Regions from separate parts of the Mus musculus genome. Here region 2 is reported to be linked to region 1. The links are microRNA targets in miRTarBase. Many come from high-throughput screens and were not tested one by one. Region 1 holds a microRNA gene; the other region holds the end of a gene's coding sequence.

Region 1 (8,636 bases):
CTCATATAAAGACTAAGCTGAGGCTTGCAAGACATTCTGAAGGCATAGAATGTCCCTTATAAATTGTGCATTTGAGGTAGAAAAGGAATGGCAACCCTTGCATAGACTGCATGTCATAATATGAGCATGCGACTGGACCAGAGCTACTGCCTTAGAAAGGTACCAAAGAGAACTGCAGATGTCAGGGTTCTGGTGCTAGCTGCAGCAACCCTTTGTGACTGAGCTCGTGTCTATAAAGCTATCCACATTGCTTCCCTCACAGCACTGTCCTGGGAACATTCAGTAGCTGGCAGAACTCGTCCTCCTGACCCTTTTGGTTCCTGTTTCGTTAGGAGGAGGGACCCACTTGGGAAGAACAGACATTATAAGGGGTTTTAGTTGATGAAGGCACAAGAAATGAAACGGAGACCTGAGAAGACATTGACATCTCTCTTTGCTCATGTTTTACCAACAGTGTACACAACCAACTTGATAACTGCTTCTCTTCAATTTATAGGTGATAGTGAGCTTAGTCTGTCCCAGGAAAGGCTCTGTCATTGATCCTTGCCTCTTCATTATTTTCATTGTTGATTTCAAGACTTTGGAATAATACATTATATTTATAGTTGAATCAGAGTTAGAGATGGAAAGGATAGAGGGTAGTTAGCTAATCTAATGCGTGACCTACACTTACAGCCCTCCAAAGTAAATAGATCCACAGAGAGATCACGTATTCTTCTGTAGACATACATATATTCTGTTTTTATAGTTAAAATTCATAGAATATATAAAAATCCTGTGTTTTAAAGAGAGCATAATAGAAGCTGGCCATGGTTGTGCATACCTTTAATCCCAGCATGTGGGAGGCAGAGGCAAATAAATCTCTGTAAGTTCGAGGCCAGCCAGGTCTATAAAGGGAGTTCCAGGGTAGCCAGGGCTGCTCCACAGAGAAACTCAGTTTTGAGAAACCAAACTAACCAAATAAAACCAGCATAATAGAGTGAAATGTCTATGATAGTTGCGGTACTATTTTAAGTGTTATTTGGAGTGGATTCATTATAACTACTTAGCCATTTTCTTTACTATTGAACTAGATGTTTTGGGATTTTTTTCTGCTTATAAAGCAGGCAGCAGTTTTTACGTTTTCCACTATGGCTAGTAAGACAGTGCCCTAAAAGCACACTGTGTGGCTACGGCTGTCCCCTTTATGAGGATTTGTGTTGACCCCAGCTGTCCCTCTCCGTCAGATCCTGGAGTCTCTGTGGATTGTTATGAGCCGGAACGTGAGCCTGCTGTTCACCACAGTCACCACCCTGCTGACCATCCTCTTCTACAGTGGCACTGCCCTTCTCAACTTCGTGCTGTCTCTGGTAGGTACATTTAGACAGCACCCATTGTATTCCCTTATGGATTACAGCATTTCCTGGGCTCTGTTTTTGCGCATGTATAGCTTTTATACGCTCATAAATGTGATTTTTAGGAGATCCTGTCCTTTGTTTTGCAGATAATTTTCCTGACCACACTGTTTTATCTGTTAAGTTCCAGTGATGAGTACTACAAGCCAGTGAAGTGGGTGATCAGCCTGACACCACTTTCTCAGCCAGGCCCTTCCTCTAACATCATCGGCCAGTCTGTGGAAGAGGCGATCAGGTAGGGACAAGAGCATGCTGTTCTTACTAGCGTCCCGTGGCATCCCGGTTACCTTCCTTGTATTCATAGAAACATTCAGTGTGGAAGTAGTGAAGGATGCCAGTGCTTTCAAGACCTTTATCTTACTTTAAGAAGGTCCTAGGAGCAGAGCACATGCTTTGAGGGAAAGTTCCCAGGAGTTTGTCACTCTATTCTGCTGCTGTGATTTACAAAGACCTGATATGTGTTCACAGATCGGCTTTAGTCCGGTTTCCATAACCTTGGCATTTGCTCAGGAGAACGCCTCCTCCTCCCACATTGTCTTTACCTCCTGGGGCCCTTCTCTGACTTCAGGACCCTCCTGTTTTGTCTCTCTTGTTATGTTCAACTGACCCAACAGTTGTCTGTGTCTGTGTGAAATGCCCTCAGCTTTTCTCCCCATTCCTACTCAGGAAGCCTGGGGAAGGTCTTTATTAATGATGAAAATTGCAACAATAGGTTATCTTTTGTTTATCTGCTTTTTAAAAAGTCTTTTGTAATCATTGTTACCCTAAAAGGAAAAGGGAACAAAACAGACAAAACCCCTCTCTTCCCAGTAGCATAAAAATAGCCTTTGAGAGGCTGGCAGCCATCTTGGTCAGTCTTCAGTCTGGCTGAGGCAGAGCTGTCCGGGAGGACAGGTGCATTGCCCAGGAAGATCCTTTAAAGGCCAGCTCTGCTCTAGCTTTGCACTGTTGCCCTTCTCATAGAAGCTTCACCTTCTGCTGTGTCCCTACTGCGCTTTCTACAGGGAGCAGCTTTCTGACTGACATCAAGGTGCTTTTATGCAAGATACTTCTGCACCCTCCCCAGCCCAGGATCCCCTCCCCTCCCCTCCCCTTCTCTCCCCCCCCCCCTCTCTCTCTCTCTCTGTCTCTCTCTCTGTCTCTCTCTCTCTCTCTCCTGACTCTTCCTTTGCCACCCAGGCTGGCTTTGAACTGGATATCTCCTGTCTCTCTCTGTTTCCTGAACGCTAGGGTTACTAGGATTACGAATGCACACTACCATGCTAGGCCTTGTCACTTAACATTGGCACTGTCGTCCTGTTGGATCTGAAAGCTGATGGGTGGGTTTGGATGGCCATCTTCCACTGTGACTGGCTTTTGCATTCTGCAGCCCTGTGTGCTGTTCCTTTACAAAGTTGTAATAAATACTTAATATGTTTGAGTTTTGCATGGGCTCCTTTGAGGAGTCTTCAGGAGAAAAGCGTCAGTGCACTGTGTCTAAAAGTTAAGTAGGAATTTTCATCCTCTGCCCCTACAGGCGTTGCAGGTGTGGCTGCTGTGTCACATGTGTGTCAGTAGGTGGCAGAGAGGAGAGAGGCTATGTCTACGCTCAGTGTTCTGACCTGTGAACATCTGAATGATTAGTAGCCTAACATTCCCTGAAAAAAGTGAGCCTGAGATATCCACCAGTCTGGTGCCAGAGGGCCCAGACAGGGAGCTAACCTGAGACAACTGCTATTCCTGTACCAGGCAGATCTGGAAGGGCTCCCAGGACAAGCAAGCTGGAGACTAGAAGAGCTCTGCCTGGGACCAGAGGCCCCAGGCATGAGTGAGCCCAAGACAGACCGCCACTTGGGTAGGCCGGAAGAGGAGTGAGTCTCAGATGAGATGAACTCCAGTCTTGTGCCACGCTGGCCTGGGGGTATAGACCATGCTTGAGATGAGCCCTGCCTGGTGCCATAATGCACGAGCGGGACCTAGCACTTCTGAGACCACTCCTGAGACGACCCCAGACACTCGGAGAACCCAGGCGCCACTAAGAGGAGCAAGTGAGTGGTTGAGAAATAGAAGACAAAGAGAAATAAGGATGTGGTCACAATGAAGAGAGGCAGAACTGGACAATTACGGGTAATGAGGAGCAGCCTCATGTGAATAGCCAGTGATGCCACCTGAGACCATGGTTGGGTCCTAGCCTGTGCTGCTACTGGAGGCCACATCTGGGACGGATGTTGCCACCAAAAGCAAGGCAGACATCCCTGGTCTGGGCTGCCAACTGTGGCCTTGTTGATCTCCGAGGGCTATGCTCGGCCCTGTCTTCACCTGGGCGTGTGGGAGAGTTAGCTCTAGAGGTATGAATGTAGGATCCCTGAACCTAGCCAGCTGCCGTACTCAGGAAAGCAGCAGGTGAGTTGGGCCTGAGCATGGGACAGCTGGCCCTACCACTCATCTCCCTGTGGTTGCTTAGATGAGGGAAAGAGTCCCTTCTCCCCTGTCCTGGACCTGGGGTCATAGAGCAGAAGAGCTGGCCCTGTCCTTCACCAGCAGCAGCACTCAGAAGAGCAGCCTCTGCACCTCACTTGGGCACAGCAGAGCTGACCAGGGTAGCTGAGGTTATGGGTGTGAGAGCGTGAGAGCCAGCCCTGCCTCTTGCCTGTTGGATGGTGGTGTTGAGGAGGGAGAGATACCTTACTTCCCCTCCCTCATTTTTGGCAGACGGGAGAGCTGGCCCTGGGATTCTGAGAGTGAGAGAACTGGCCATGCCCCTCACTGGATGCAACGCTTGGAAGAGCAGACCCTGCACCTCACCTGGGCAGCAGGATAGAGCTGGGCCTGGTGTGGGGCTGCAGAGCATGAGAGCCGGTGGGCTGACCAGGTCAGATACCTCTCAGGCCCAGATCCAGGGCTTTGAATTGGCCCACTCCAACATCTACCCCATCAGTGAACTGCTAGAGTGTACAAAGGGGCACTACAGATCCAAAGCCTATCTCCATGACACAGGGCAACCACAGGGTATATGAGAGGAGGCCCAGTGAGGTTCCAGTATTGATTGAGTAGTAGAAGCCAGAGGACTTGTACCAGACCAACAAGTCATTGTAATGAACATGTGCAGACAAAGAAGTGTGGACAAAAGGATGTCCTGTGGGACACACTGGGACACACTACAGCTTCCACAGCAACTCTGTTGTAGGGGCAGTTGCAAGGGTGGAGGGGAGGGTTTGGGGGTGTTGGGGGGAGATGAGTGGGATTGGAGTGCATGATGTGAAATTCACAAAGAAAAAATAAAAAATGAAAAAAATTAAGCTTAAAAAGAATTTTCAGCCGGGTGGTGATGGCGCACGCCTTTCATCCCAGCACTTGGGAGGCAGAGGCAGGTGGATTTCTAAGTTCGAGGCCAGCCTGGTCTACAGAGTGAGTTCCAGGACAGCCAGGGCTACATAGAGAAACCCTGTCTCAAAAAAAAAAAAAAAAAAGAAAGAAAGAAAAAAAAGAATTTTCATACTGGAGGATTATGTTCAAGTAGAAATATGATTCTTTGTGGATGAAGATTAATCAACAAACAATTACAAAGATTGTAGTTGATTCTCTGTAAGTGCTCAGTGACAGCAGTTTTATAAATATGTCATCAGTATATGGTCAAATGAAAAATCATGAAGTTGATTTCATATAATACTTTAGTTAGGCATGAGTGAGATTGAGAGTTAGTTGCATGGCATACAGAAGTGTGTGTCCTAAAGATTGCCTCTAAGCTGTGGATTTCCTTTGTGATTACCGTGTGTGACTTTGAAATTTTGAACCTTATTTTAATTTTAAGTTCCTGTTATTCTAAACGGAGTGCATTTGTCACTGAGTTTTCATTTCATCTCAGGATTTTGAGGTAGTGGCATGCATCCTGGATCCCCAGCATTGGCTTCCCTTAGAGCATGCTGTCTCCTGAATGCACACGTCACACCCTTCTCCCCGAGGTTCCCTCTGCTTGCTCTGGTGGAGATATTGCACATTACTAAGTTGCATGTTGTCACGGCCTCAATGCAATTTAGTGTGTGTGATATTTTCACATGAGTGCATGCACACGGGTCTGGGTCTTGCTTGCTGGGATTAGAGCTTTTCCATGCTGGAGGGCTGAACTGGTGCTGAGTTTCATGTGAGGATGAATGCTTTGTAAGGTTTGATTCCGAGAATGGCCATGTTCTACTTCTTCACCCAGTTCTGAAGAAAATAAAAATGTTTTAGTTATTTTTAAAAAGTTAGGGTTGCTTCTTAAGTAAATTAATGTTTTCATTTTCTAATTTGAGTGTATTGTTGACTGAACAAAATTCTTAGAGATTTAAAGATGTAAGTAATACTTGTTTAAAGTAAAATGTGCAGTAACAAATATAAAGATCTCTGTCTGTCTCTCCCTCCCTCCCTCCCCCCCCCCCCCCCCCCAGTTCGGTTGAGAGATGGCTTCTCTGTGTAGCCCTGGCTATCATTGTCCTTGAACTCCCTCTGTAGAAAAGGCTGTAAGTGCTGTTTTTAATATAAACTTAAGTGGTAAATTAATACAGCGGCTGAGTTTCTTTATCCTAGTTAGTTCCCAATAATAACACAGAGACACCAAGAATTATTTTTAAACTTCACCTCAATATCTAGGCAGTCTGTCTTAATCTCCTCCCCTAAGCTAATCTGGCTACCGCCAGCCAAGAATCACAATAATACTTGAAATTATGCTTCTCATGTTTCTGTTGAACTCTCAAGAACTTTCTTCCTTCTCTGAATACCCCCTACCCCGTGTATGTGTGTTGTGTGTGTGTCTTTCCTTCCCCCCCTCCCCCCTTGACTAGCAGAAACCCCACCCTATTCTGTCTTATGCCCAGCCATTGGGTGATCAGCATTTACTTACAAGGAAGAGAATAGTTTGCATATGCTTGGCTCAGGGAGTGCCTCTATTAGGAGGTGTGGTCTTGCTGGAGTAGGTATGGCCTTGTTGAAGGGAGTGCCCACTGTGGAAGTGGGCTTTGAGACCCTCCTAGCCATGTGGGAGACAATGGTCTCCTGTTTGCCTTTGGAATAAGATGTAGAACTCCTCCAGCGCCTTGCGTGCTTGGTCACTGCCATGCTTCCCACCATGATGATAATGGTCTGAACCTGTAAGCCAGCCCCAATTAAATATTTTTCTTTATAAGAGTTGCATTGGTCATGGTGTCTCTTCACAGCAATGGAAACCCTAAGATACAAGGATAATCTTTACATATTACACAAAAACATGCCTATACTAGGCTGACCTTGAACTCAGAGACTCACCTGTCTCTGTTTCCCGTGTTGGGATTAAAGACATGTGCCGCCACTACCACCCAGCATAAAGTTATTTAAACAAACAAAAAAAAAAAGGTGTTTTTGAGCTGCTTGTAGTGGCACATGCCTATAATCCTAGCATTTGAGAGCCTGAGGCAGGAGGATTGCTGTAAGTTCTAGGCCAGTTTGAACTACGTAGAGAGTTTAAGGTTAGTTTGAGCTATCTATCAAGACACCCCCCCACGCCCCAAAAAAGTGGAATATTTGAGAATCCTAGCATTGTAATAGAATTTCTTATGCATACTTTGGGAAATTAACTGGAGTAATAATGCCTTTTAGCTGAGTGGTTAGAGGTTAGTGTAATATACTTGAATGTTTGTTTTTATTACGTTTAAAGGAAAATAGCCTTTAAAAACGTTGTCTTATATGTAGCTTTTCATTGAGTAAGGTGAAGCGGGAGAGGGGGGAGGGTGAAGGATCTGTGATGGAAGGGAGGTTAGGTATCCAAGCGATAACTAGAAGATACTGGGCATGTGCTTCCAGACTGTTGGCCTATTGATACTGCAATAAATCTGACATAGGGTGCTTTGGATTTCCCTCCTACCTCTAAAGTGTATGTTTAACCTGTAGTTTATGAAGTGTGCAATAGCATTGCCTCTTTAATATAACTATATATACACAAATTAAAATATTTTGCTAAAAATACATTAATGATCAGCTAAGTTGTTGGAAAAAGGAGTCTGGTAGACTGCCTACATTCTGGGTTGACTCAAACTTCAATTTGTTGAAACTAGAATTTCTGCACAGTATATGAATTTGAAGGGACAGTGGTATACCTGTGATCAAGGGAGCTGGCACCGTCCCTAGTCAGCATGGTAGACACTGTCTGTTGCTGCTCAGGGGCCCTCTTCGTTGATGGTGCCATTGTTTTCTGGGGAGAGGATAGTCTGGTGCTCAGCCTATCTTTAGAGAGGTCTTTAGAGAGGAAGGGTGGAAGTAATGTACAGAAATGTGAGGTAGGTGGGGTTTTGGACTCGACTCATTTTCTGTTTCCTTTCTTCCTGAGACGCGTACTTCCTCCTTGTCTGGCTTGTGGTACTTTGTCCCCCAAGCCTGTCTGAGCCGTGACTGTCCTGCTCACTCTGTAACTTGCTTCTGGTTTCACTTCATCCAGAGCAGGTTGAGGGATTGAAGTTGTCTTGTTTCTTCTTCAGTTTAGAAACATGGTTGTGTGAGTGAGGCTTGAAGCACACACTCTTTTAGTGCCACTCACTACAGATATTCTTAGGATTATCAGGGGAAAGGGTGCAGAGGAAAGATAACCCCAGCTCAGGGTAGAAAGAAAGGCTGTGCTCATCCCATAAGTGGTCTGTTTTGGGGTGAGCTGATGTTTGAGTCATCTTTGGGGAGCCTCAGTTGAGTTACTTTATTGTGTCCTTAGTGCCAACTTACTTTTACTATGAAAAACTTGTAAATGAGGTGAGGCTAACGAAAGCCACCTTTCCACACTAGACAAATTCCTCACCCTAGTAGTTCATGTGGTTACTCTTCCTCCCTCCCCAGCTTCCCTTTCCAGTGGTCTCTGAGGAGGCTGCACTCTGATTTTCTCTAATGTAGAAGGGATTCCATGGCCTCTCCTTGGCTGATGTGGCGGTGTCCTCAGGTCTCCGAGAACAGTCACCTTCCCCTTCCTTTCCATGCTTGCCCTTGGAGGGTATCCTGTCCCCTCCTCTAATTGGACTACTGCCCCTTAAGCCTACTAAGCCTCGCCTCTTGTCTTTTCCAGGCCAGCCATTCTCTCTCTCTGCTTATCTATGTTTCCCTATCATTTCTTTTCCTTAGACTTTTCAATTCCTTTGTTTCCTATTGGCTATCTCCTCTCCTTTCTGTCTTTTTGATGTATTTAAATCTGGGTCCATGTTGAGCGAGTCACATGACGCATTCTTGAGTGACACCGTTGGTAAAGTTGGCAAAGGTTTTGCAGATGGAGAA
Region 2 (8,636 bases), not on the chromosome of region 1:
ATAAAGATGAACATTCATGAATTAATGGTGTTTAGATGAGTTAATGGTTTTACAGAATTCAAGATTTGATTCAAGTAATTTTAGGAAAAAAGTTTTTTTGGGAGGTTTAACTTGATCGATTTTAAATTTATTACTATTACTTATTCACTTTTGTTCGGGACCCACTTGAAGACCAAGCTGCACTTCTGCTACATATGTACGAGGGGCCTAGGTCCAACCCATGCATATTCTTTGGTTGATGGTTGAGTCTCTGAGAGTCCCAAGGGTTCAGGTTAGTTGACTCTGTTTGTCTTCCTGTGGCACTACTATCCCCTCAAAGACTGCAATCCTTCTTCCTATTCTTCTATAAAAGTCCCCAAGCTCTACCCTCTGGCGGTGGATATTATCTCTATCTGTCTGAGTCAGCTGCTGGGTGGAGCCTCTCAGAGGACAGCCATGCTAGACTCCTGTTTGCATTACAACAGAGTATCATTAATAGTGTCAGGGATTGGTTATTGCCCGTGGGATAGATCTCTAGTTGGACAGTTATTGGTTGGCTGTTCTCAGTCTCGGCTCTATCACCAATTCCTGCATTTCCTGTAGATAGGAAAAGTGTTGGGTCAAAAGTTTGTGGGTGGGTTGGTGTCCCTATTGCTCCCCCATGGTTCCTGCCTAGCCACAAGAGGCAGCCTCCCTAGGCTCCATATTCCTAATGCTATGAATCACAGCTAAGGACACCACCACTGATTCTTGGGTGCCTCCCCTATTACAAGTCTCTGTCTCTTCCTGGAAATGCCCCCTACCTAGTCCACCCCCCATCAGTTGCAAATTACCATTCATTCTCATGGCCATCCAGCCATCCTCTTGCCCTGACCCTAGACTTCTCCACTTCCCTCCTGATCCCCTCTCCCACCCAGTTCCCTCTCTCCATATGCCTTCCATGACTATTCCACTCCCCCTTCCAAGTGAGACTTAAGCATCCTCATTTGTGCCTTCCTTCCTGTCCAGCCTCCTTAAGTCTGTGGAATGTAGCATGAGTACTCTGCACTTCATGGCTAATATCCACTTATAAGTAGATACATACCATGCATGTGCTTTTGGGACCTGGTTACCTCACTCAGGATAAGATTCTCAAGTTCCATCCATTTGCCTGCAAAATTCATGATGTCTTTTTTTTTTTTTTTTCCTTAGCTGAATAGTAGTAGTCCATTGTGTAGATGTACCACCTTTTCTTTATCTATTCTTCAATTGAAGGTCATTTAGGTTGTTCCCATCTCCAGAACACCAACAGCTCAGGTTCCAAGATCAGCAACTGATAAGTGGAACTTCAGGAAACTGCAAAGTTTCTGTAAGGCAAAGTACACTGTTGCAAATGAAGTACTGCTTTGAACTTATCAACATCCGTCTATAGCTCCCATTTTATGTAACATCTTATATATGAGGTAATTTTCTGAAGAACTTTTGTCTAAGAAGGTATGAAATAAGGTTGTTGGCTTGGGAGGCTCTGCCCCATCCATCTGTCCATTCATCCAGTTGTGGTGTGTGTGGTGTGTGTGTGTGTGTGTGTGTATGTGTGTGTGTGTGTGTGTGTGTGTGTGTGTGTGTGTACACATATACATGTGTAGGAATATGCAAGCATGCGTGAATACTAGTGGAGTTGATTGAGACAGATGACCATGCCTAACCAAAATACATGTGTGTGTAAATGTGTGTATGTCTATGCATATTTAAATGTGTAAAGGATTTTAATTATTTTCCTTTATTTTTAATATTTTATATATGAGGTAATTCTTTCTTACATAGATTACTTTTTGTCTAAAAGCTATAAGAAGCTGAAAGCAATAAAAGAAAGGTGGTGTAACTGTTTTCTGTTTCACTCAGTATGTGTGTGTGTGTGTGTGTGTGTGAGTGACTCTTTTCCTTTCCTTTCTTCTCTCTCTGGCTCAAAAAGAGTTAGCAAGCCTCTCACCCGGCGAGCAAGGGCTCCTTTGAGTGAGATAGAAGGGAACCCTAACAATTAAGCTTTCTCTCTCTTTTTTTCCCCCTAATCTTATGATGCTAACAGAAAGTGTTTATTACCAGAAACCAATGGCTTTTGGCCTTAAAATAGCAAAGAATTATTGACAGAAGGATTGCCAAAGATAAATAAACTTCGGTCTCTCCACTGACTCCATATCCCTTGGCTGCCTTTTTCAAAGAACTGGTGCCATTGGAGGCCACTGGTACAGGAACACTTGTGGAGTTGATGAGACAAATGGTGGGGTCCAGCTTGTGTGTGTGTGTGAGTCTGTGTGTATGTGTATATGAATGTGTGTATACCTATGCATATTGCCTGTGTAAAAGATTTTATTTTCTTCTCTTGTCTAAGTAGTCCACAAAGAGTTAACAAGCTCAGAGCTTCTTGTCTGGCCAGCAAGAGACTCCTGGCTGGCTGACCAGGGAAAGGAGCCCTAGCAAGAGATCCTTTACTTAATTCTCCACTGCTAAACATTGTTAATTAAACAGTGTTAATCACTAGAAGCTGGCAATTTTTGGTCTTAAGCTAGCAAAGAGTTAATGATAGAAAAAAAATTACCAAAAAGTAAGCTATTTTTGCCTTTGTAATTGCAAGTTTTGCCACTTCAAAGGGCAACACCCCCATTGCTACCTTCCCCAGGAAACTGTATTGCCAGGAAGGTCCCCAACATTTCATATATACACATTTTCTTCATTAAAGTTCCCTAGGTTTGGGACTGGGGGGTAAGCACTCAGGTAATTTCCTGTAAACCTGCTTCCCACCTTAATTTGTAAAATAAAGGAGAGCTAATGATTGGTCAGATAAAAGGGAAGGTGGAACAGAAAGTGAGAGAGAGAAGATAATATTGGAAAAGGAAGAGGACACAGAAGAGGAGGAGGAAGAAGAAAAGCAGAGCAGAAGCACATGGCCTGGAGAAACCACAAGTTCTAAGGGGTCTCATAGATGTGGAAGATGGTAGTGTAGCAGTAGATCTGCCCAATCTAGGTGCACGGCATATATTCATTTTAACTGTGTTGTGTTTTCATTGCTCGGGCCTATTTGGGTTGGAGATTTACCACAACAAAATTAATAGAAGTCTGTGGCTCTAGGTAAAGAGCATAACAGATAGATATTATAATAGGTATTAATTAAATAAATGTCTGCAGCTTCTGGTAGAGAGCACAACAGACAGGATGGCTGCTCTAGGCAGAGAGCTTATTAGTTATGAGAAATTTCATGTCCGGAATTAGATAGGGAATATTAGTCACTGACTCCAAGTAGAGAGAGCAGTGATAATCACCTGCTATGAGCAGGTATTATTTAATAGAAGTCTGTGGCTCCAGGTAGAGAGCATAACAGATAGATATTATAATGGAGATTAATTAAATAAATGTCTGTGGCTCAAGTTTGAGAGCACTCTAATAAATCTTACAGGATACTCATATTGTATCTAACGTGGACTCCATGGGAATTTTGGGTTTAAATCCTGGTTTGACAAGCTGTTTCTTATAAGCAGATATAGAAAGGAGAGGAGAGGAGAGGAGAGGAGAGGAGAGGGGAGGGGAGGGGAGGGGAGGGGAGGGGAGGGGAGGGGAGGGGAGAGGAGAGGAGAGGAGAGGAGAGGAGAGGAGAGGAGAGGAGAGGAGAGGAGAGGAGAGGAGAGGAGAGGAGAGGAGAGGAGAGGAGAGGAGAGGAAAAGGAAAGGAAAATAGAAGTGTGAATTAATTGTTTTAAAGATGGTATAATAAAGTCTGCAGGAGACTCATATTCTGTCTAATGTGGGCTCCAAGGGAATTTTGGGTTTAAATCCTGACATGACAAATTAGAAAGGCCTAAATAGGCTAAAATGTGTGTGATTTTGAGTATTGTGGTGGTTTTATTGTTCCTCTGGGACAGAGAGCAAGCTACAGGTTTTCCTGGTTACCGGATGAAGAATATGCTGATTTGGGGAAAAGGTTTTGTCTTTGTGTTTGGAAAAGGTGATTAAGGTATTTACACTTAAGGTAATTATAATTTATTTATTATGTTGTATATGATATATGTGTGCTCACACACACTTGCTGTGGGGCATGGAGCCATCTTGCTAGCCCTCATTATCATCTCTTAATGTTGAGTAGCAGAATCACATTATATTGCATTTGGAGAATTAAGTGCTTCCTGAATTTTACTGCTAGAAATTGACCTTGCACATCAAAGATTATTTGTTTTAATTTTCTCTTTCTCCAAAGTAGTCATATCACAGAAAAATGTATTTACTATTCCATATTTTTGGTAAATTGCTTCTAGAAGTTAAGCTGAGCTAAATCACACTGCCTCCAGCTGTCTTTTTAGCTGTACCTTTTCAACACAAGACCCCTAGAGATTCATGTTCATTTTCATTTCAGTTATATACTCAAGCTGGAGTGATGAAATGGGAGGATCAGTTTATAAAAGAACATTAATATACTAATGTTGCAAAATATTTATTTTTCATGTGTGGAGGTCAGAGGACAACTTTTGGAAGTCAGTTCTCTCCTTCTACCTTGGGCTCTGGGGACTGAACTCTGGTGGTTAGAGTTGCTTAGCAAGTGCTATGAGCCATGGGGGAACTTCACAGATTCAATATTGACAAAGCTTTAAATACTAACATTTCAGTGGTACCTTTCCTTTCAAGGACAGTTCATGTCTACCATTTATTCCTATGGCTGAGAAGGAAGAAAATAAAATTATTCTGGAAAAAATTGAAATAAGACACAAAACACTGATAGTTTTCCTCAGCTTATATTATTGCAGTCACTTAAGGTGAGTGTAGCTTATAAGATTTATTGTGAAATTATCCAAAAGTTTGACCATAGTTAAAAAAAAAAGAAAGAAAAAAAGAGTTCTGTACTTCAAAAGGGTTTTGATAGCAACATACATATTTTCTGTCACATCCATTACATAACAATTTATTTTATTGCCTGTTTCACATGTGGATATAAACTCTACACACTTGTATCAGGTAGTGGCTGGATATTTTAATTCTACTACTAAATGTATGCTACTACATGTAACCTATGTATGCTATGTAGAAGTAGGCATGCTTTGAATAAGTAATACTTTATACAATACAAAAAATTTGTGGACATAGTGTTTCACATGTAAAATTATCAATAGCTGATATATCACATGACTACTCTGAGCTTTTGGTGGTGTTTTAAGGTCATTTTGCATACGTTTCTTATTAGTTTCAACTCAATCTCTAATTAAATCTAAAGGTTAACTCATGATCCACTGGATGGCAGAAGTAAGACTCGGGTCAGCTGTCTCTCATCCTGTGGCTCTCAACAGCAGTGTTTCCACTTACACATCCACACCATGCAGATCACAAGTCTGTTTTTCAACATGAGTCAGGACGGGGCTGTGGTTATTAATGATAGAATATTTAAGTGAGGAGGCCACCTGCTTCATTCTGTAGCTATGGAACTGAGACTCTCAGTGGCCAGTAAACTTCATGTTATTTTTCATTAAGAAGAAACTCTAAATCCATGTTTCTTTTCTATATATCATAAGGGTGAGCACTATATATATATAAAACACTTGTATTCAGGCATCACAAAAGGATGTTATTGCAGCATTCATTCTGGGAGTGATCAAAGATTTTCCCTGATGGAGTAGCCCTTGAAGGCATCCATGACCCACATATACTACATGAATTAGTGTGTGTGAATAAAGTATATAGTGAGAAAGATGTTTTCAGAACAGAGTTGAACAAAATGTTTTCAGAACCTTGGATATGTTGAGATTCAGAGCATCTGATATATGCAAAAATGAGTGTATCCTTTTGGCATGAATGTGTGTTAATAAGACTAGGGTTTTGCATTGTGGAAGACTTTTAGTAGGCGTTCTACTGTTCTCTGTTTTCCAATATGGTATAACTTGCTGCTATTCTTTGAGAATTTCATACATGTATGCAAAGTGTTCCAATCATATTCACCACCACCTTGTCCTCCAACTCCTCCAAACTTCATGTCCTTTTCTTTTTATAAATCCCATTGAGTCCAATTAATGCTGCTAATTCACAATTAATTCACCAATTAATGCTGTTCATAATGCATGGATATGGGGTCATTCACTGGAGCACAGTCAATTACTGGGGACATACTTGGGAATAAGAACTGTCTGCTTCTCTCCTAGTAGCTATTGACTGTCAATAGCTTCTCAGGTAGGAGTGAGGATGCCCTTGCTCTTCTTCCATCCTGTGGGGATGTTGCCTGGCTTGATTCTGTGCAGGTCTTGTGGCTATAAATTCATGAGTGCAATGGTTCTCTCAAGCCCAGAAGATGTTTCTTACCCAGTCCTCCCTGACCTCTGGATCTTACAGTTTTGCTGCCCTGGCTTCCATGATATTTCCTGCACCTTTTTGGGGAGAGTTCTTATTTTGTGGCTGTGCACTTCACAGCCTCCAATTCTCCATGCTCTGACTAGTTTGGAGACCTTGCATTGACCACTGGCCACTGCACAAAGACTCTTCTCTGGTGAGGTTTGTGAACTTCACTAATCTAAAGGTTTTGAGACCCCCCTTCCTGGAAGGCAGTTTGATGCTATAACACGGTACTTTGAATGCAGTTTGAATGAGAACCGCTGGAAACCATTTATCTATTCTTTTATTTTCACATACATAGAAACAGCTTAAACTTTATAGTGGGTTTTAAAACACAAACAAATATATAAACACTTTATTGCACATGGGAAATATTTTGGACAAAGGACTGGGAAAGACACAAACAGGTTATGTGACAAGACTGGAGTTATTCCAAGGTCAAACCACAGGGTGTGTCCTGACAGAGATCTGCCACTACACGTATTGCACTTTTCTTTCCAGCACTTTGAAATCTGCTCTACAAATATTACTCATATGCTGTGCTTTTGTTTTCTTCCTTGAAATACGCTACAGAGGTTTTTAAAGGTTAAGAAATATGTACCATTGAAAATTAGCTGTCTACACGGAGGAAGTTAAAGAAAAGGCCACTCTTATTCTTTGGGGGAGAACAATTGACAAAATAATGAGGCAAAGTTTCTGTAAATAGATGGAGTTACTGCAAAGCTTGGTTTCATAAGCATTGTTCTATTTGTGAATGCTTTTTGAATTTAAGAAAATCATTAATCAGTCAAATCTTCCTGTACCTACATTCAGCTCTTCCTACCACTGAAACCCCTCCAAATAGTGCAAATGCGTAAAGGCACTGGCTGTAGCAGTCATTCGGCAATAAATAGTAACTCTAGAGCTAGTCAGTTCTATTCATTCTAGGTTTAAAAAAAAATAAAGTGCGTTGATGAGGCTTCATAGCCATCCTCTCATCCTTGATGTGATTAGCAGTCAGTTGGTGACAGTTTCAGCTCCTGGTCAAGGGATCTTCCTGGATCTTCTTCCTCATGTCCCACAGTTCTATCTGGAGTTGATCCAGGATGATGTAAAGTTGGTTTGTGCAGTCTTTGTGGAAAATTCAACTGCAGAGCAGTATCCAGTTACACAACTTTCCTGTGGTGCTATGGCACAGTCATTTATACATCTATGTATCCTCGTCATCTGGAGGGCTTGCTGCAGACCCAGTGGAAGTTTGCCTCACAGTCCACAGCGGTAACATTTTTGTGGTTCACGGACACGCACCTCCCAGACCCCGTCAAGTTGAACCTGTCAAGCCATAGAGACACTCAGATTTATTTCCAGCCCATCATTTCTAGCCAGTTACACGACAGTCAACTTTGCAGGGGCCTCTGCCTTTTCTGTTTGCTCCCTGAGTAGGAAGCACAAAACACAAGACATCCAGCCAAGTAGCCGTGGTTTAATGTGTAGAGGCAACAGAAAACACTGGGAGGGGATTATTGGTAGAGAAAGTAGGCAAAGCTAAAGGCTCTATTTTTCTGATTTTAATGGGCATTCCAGCAAAATTCATTATCATATTTCCCCCATAGATCCTTCAAAAAGCACAGTTTAGGGGCTTAGGGAATGATCATAGGTAATTTCACCAAATACTGATATTTTATTTAGACCATCAGTGGTTTTCTTGTATTCCTTGGTAGCCTAGCCATTGGGCCACATGCCAAAAGTCCCTTTACCAGAAATGCAATTTGTTTGTTTTTGAAAGAGGGTTTCACTATTAGACTAGGTTAGTCTTGGGTTTGCAGAAATTCACCTCCCTCTGCCTTTTGGGTGCTGAAACTAAAAGCATGTAACTCTGTGACTAATTCAGAAATATAGATTTTTAATACTGATAATTGTATCAGACATTATAGAAATGTTAAGAGAGTGAGAAATTTATTCAACTCAGAGTTTACATAGTGTAAAGATCAACACTAAACTTATAGAATGTTCCTCAAAACGTGAAGTCTGACTTAGTAATAGGTAGTGACAGTGTCTTTATTGCTGGGGGTATGTGTGAATTTTCCATAGATTCAGATACTTATTATTAGGCACTAAACTATTGCCCTTTGTCCCTATAGGGATGAAAACTGGGAAATGGAATTGAAGCAGGGAATTCTTTCCCAGCAACTACTTCACCGCCCTTCACGAGAAGTGTCCTGAGTCTGTGTCAAACTCACTAAGGCTACTACTGCTCACACTAGTGTTTTGCTAAGACAAAGTTAAGTGATGCGACGGAGTTACTAACAGTAAAGGATGACTCTCAATAATTCCAAAGAG

What was found. Region 1 holds the annotated microRNA mmu-miR-32-5p (UAUUGCACAUUACUAAGUUGCA, at 5,362-5,383, shown strand). A microRNA usually pairs through its seed, bases 2 to 8, with sites in the 3' UTR of a target mRNA and lowers its output. Matches are read on the target gene's strand: a 7mer-m8 pairs with bases 2 to 8, a 7mer-A1 pairs with bases 2 to 7 and ends in A, and an 8mer does both.
Region 2: miRTarBase lists Cd69 as a target of mmu-miR-32-5p. Seed matches in the 3' UTR shown: 8mer at 6,799-6,806 and 8mer at 6,674-6,681.

Annotation. Positions count from the first base shown.
Region 1 is chr4:56,892,019-56,900,654 of GRCm38, reverse strand. Mir32 (microRNA 32) reads left to right here and starts at 5,357; the gene lies at 5,357-5,426. Tmem245 (transmembrane protein 245) reads left to right here. Exons shown (of 18, transcript NM_001369260.1): 13 at 1,227-1,349; 14 at 1,484-1,629. Gm25053 (a small nucleolar RNA gene) reads left to right here and starts at 2,898; the gene lies at 2,898-3,029.
Region 2 is chr6:129,260,742-129,269,377 of GRCm38, forward strand. Cd69 (CD69 antigen) reads right to left here. Exons shown (of 5, transcript NM_001033122.4): 5 at 6,583-7,628. The coding sequence ends at 7,520. Among named protein-coding and RNA genes, the nearest start is that of Cd69, 10 kb to the right of the region's middle.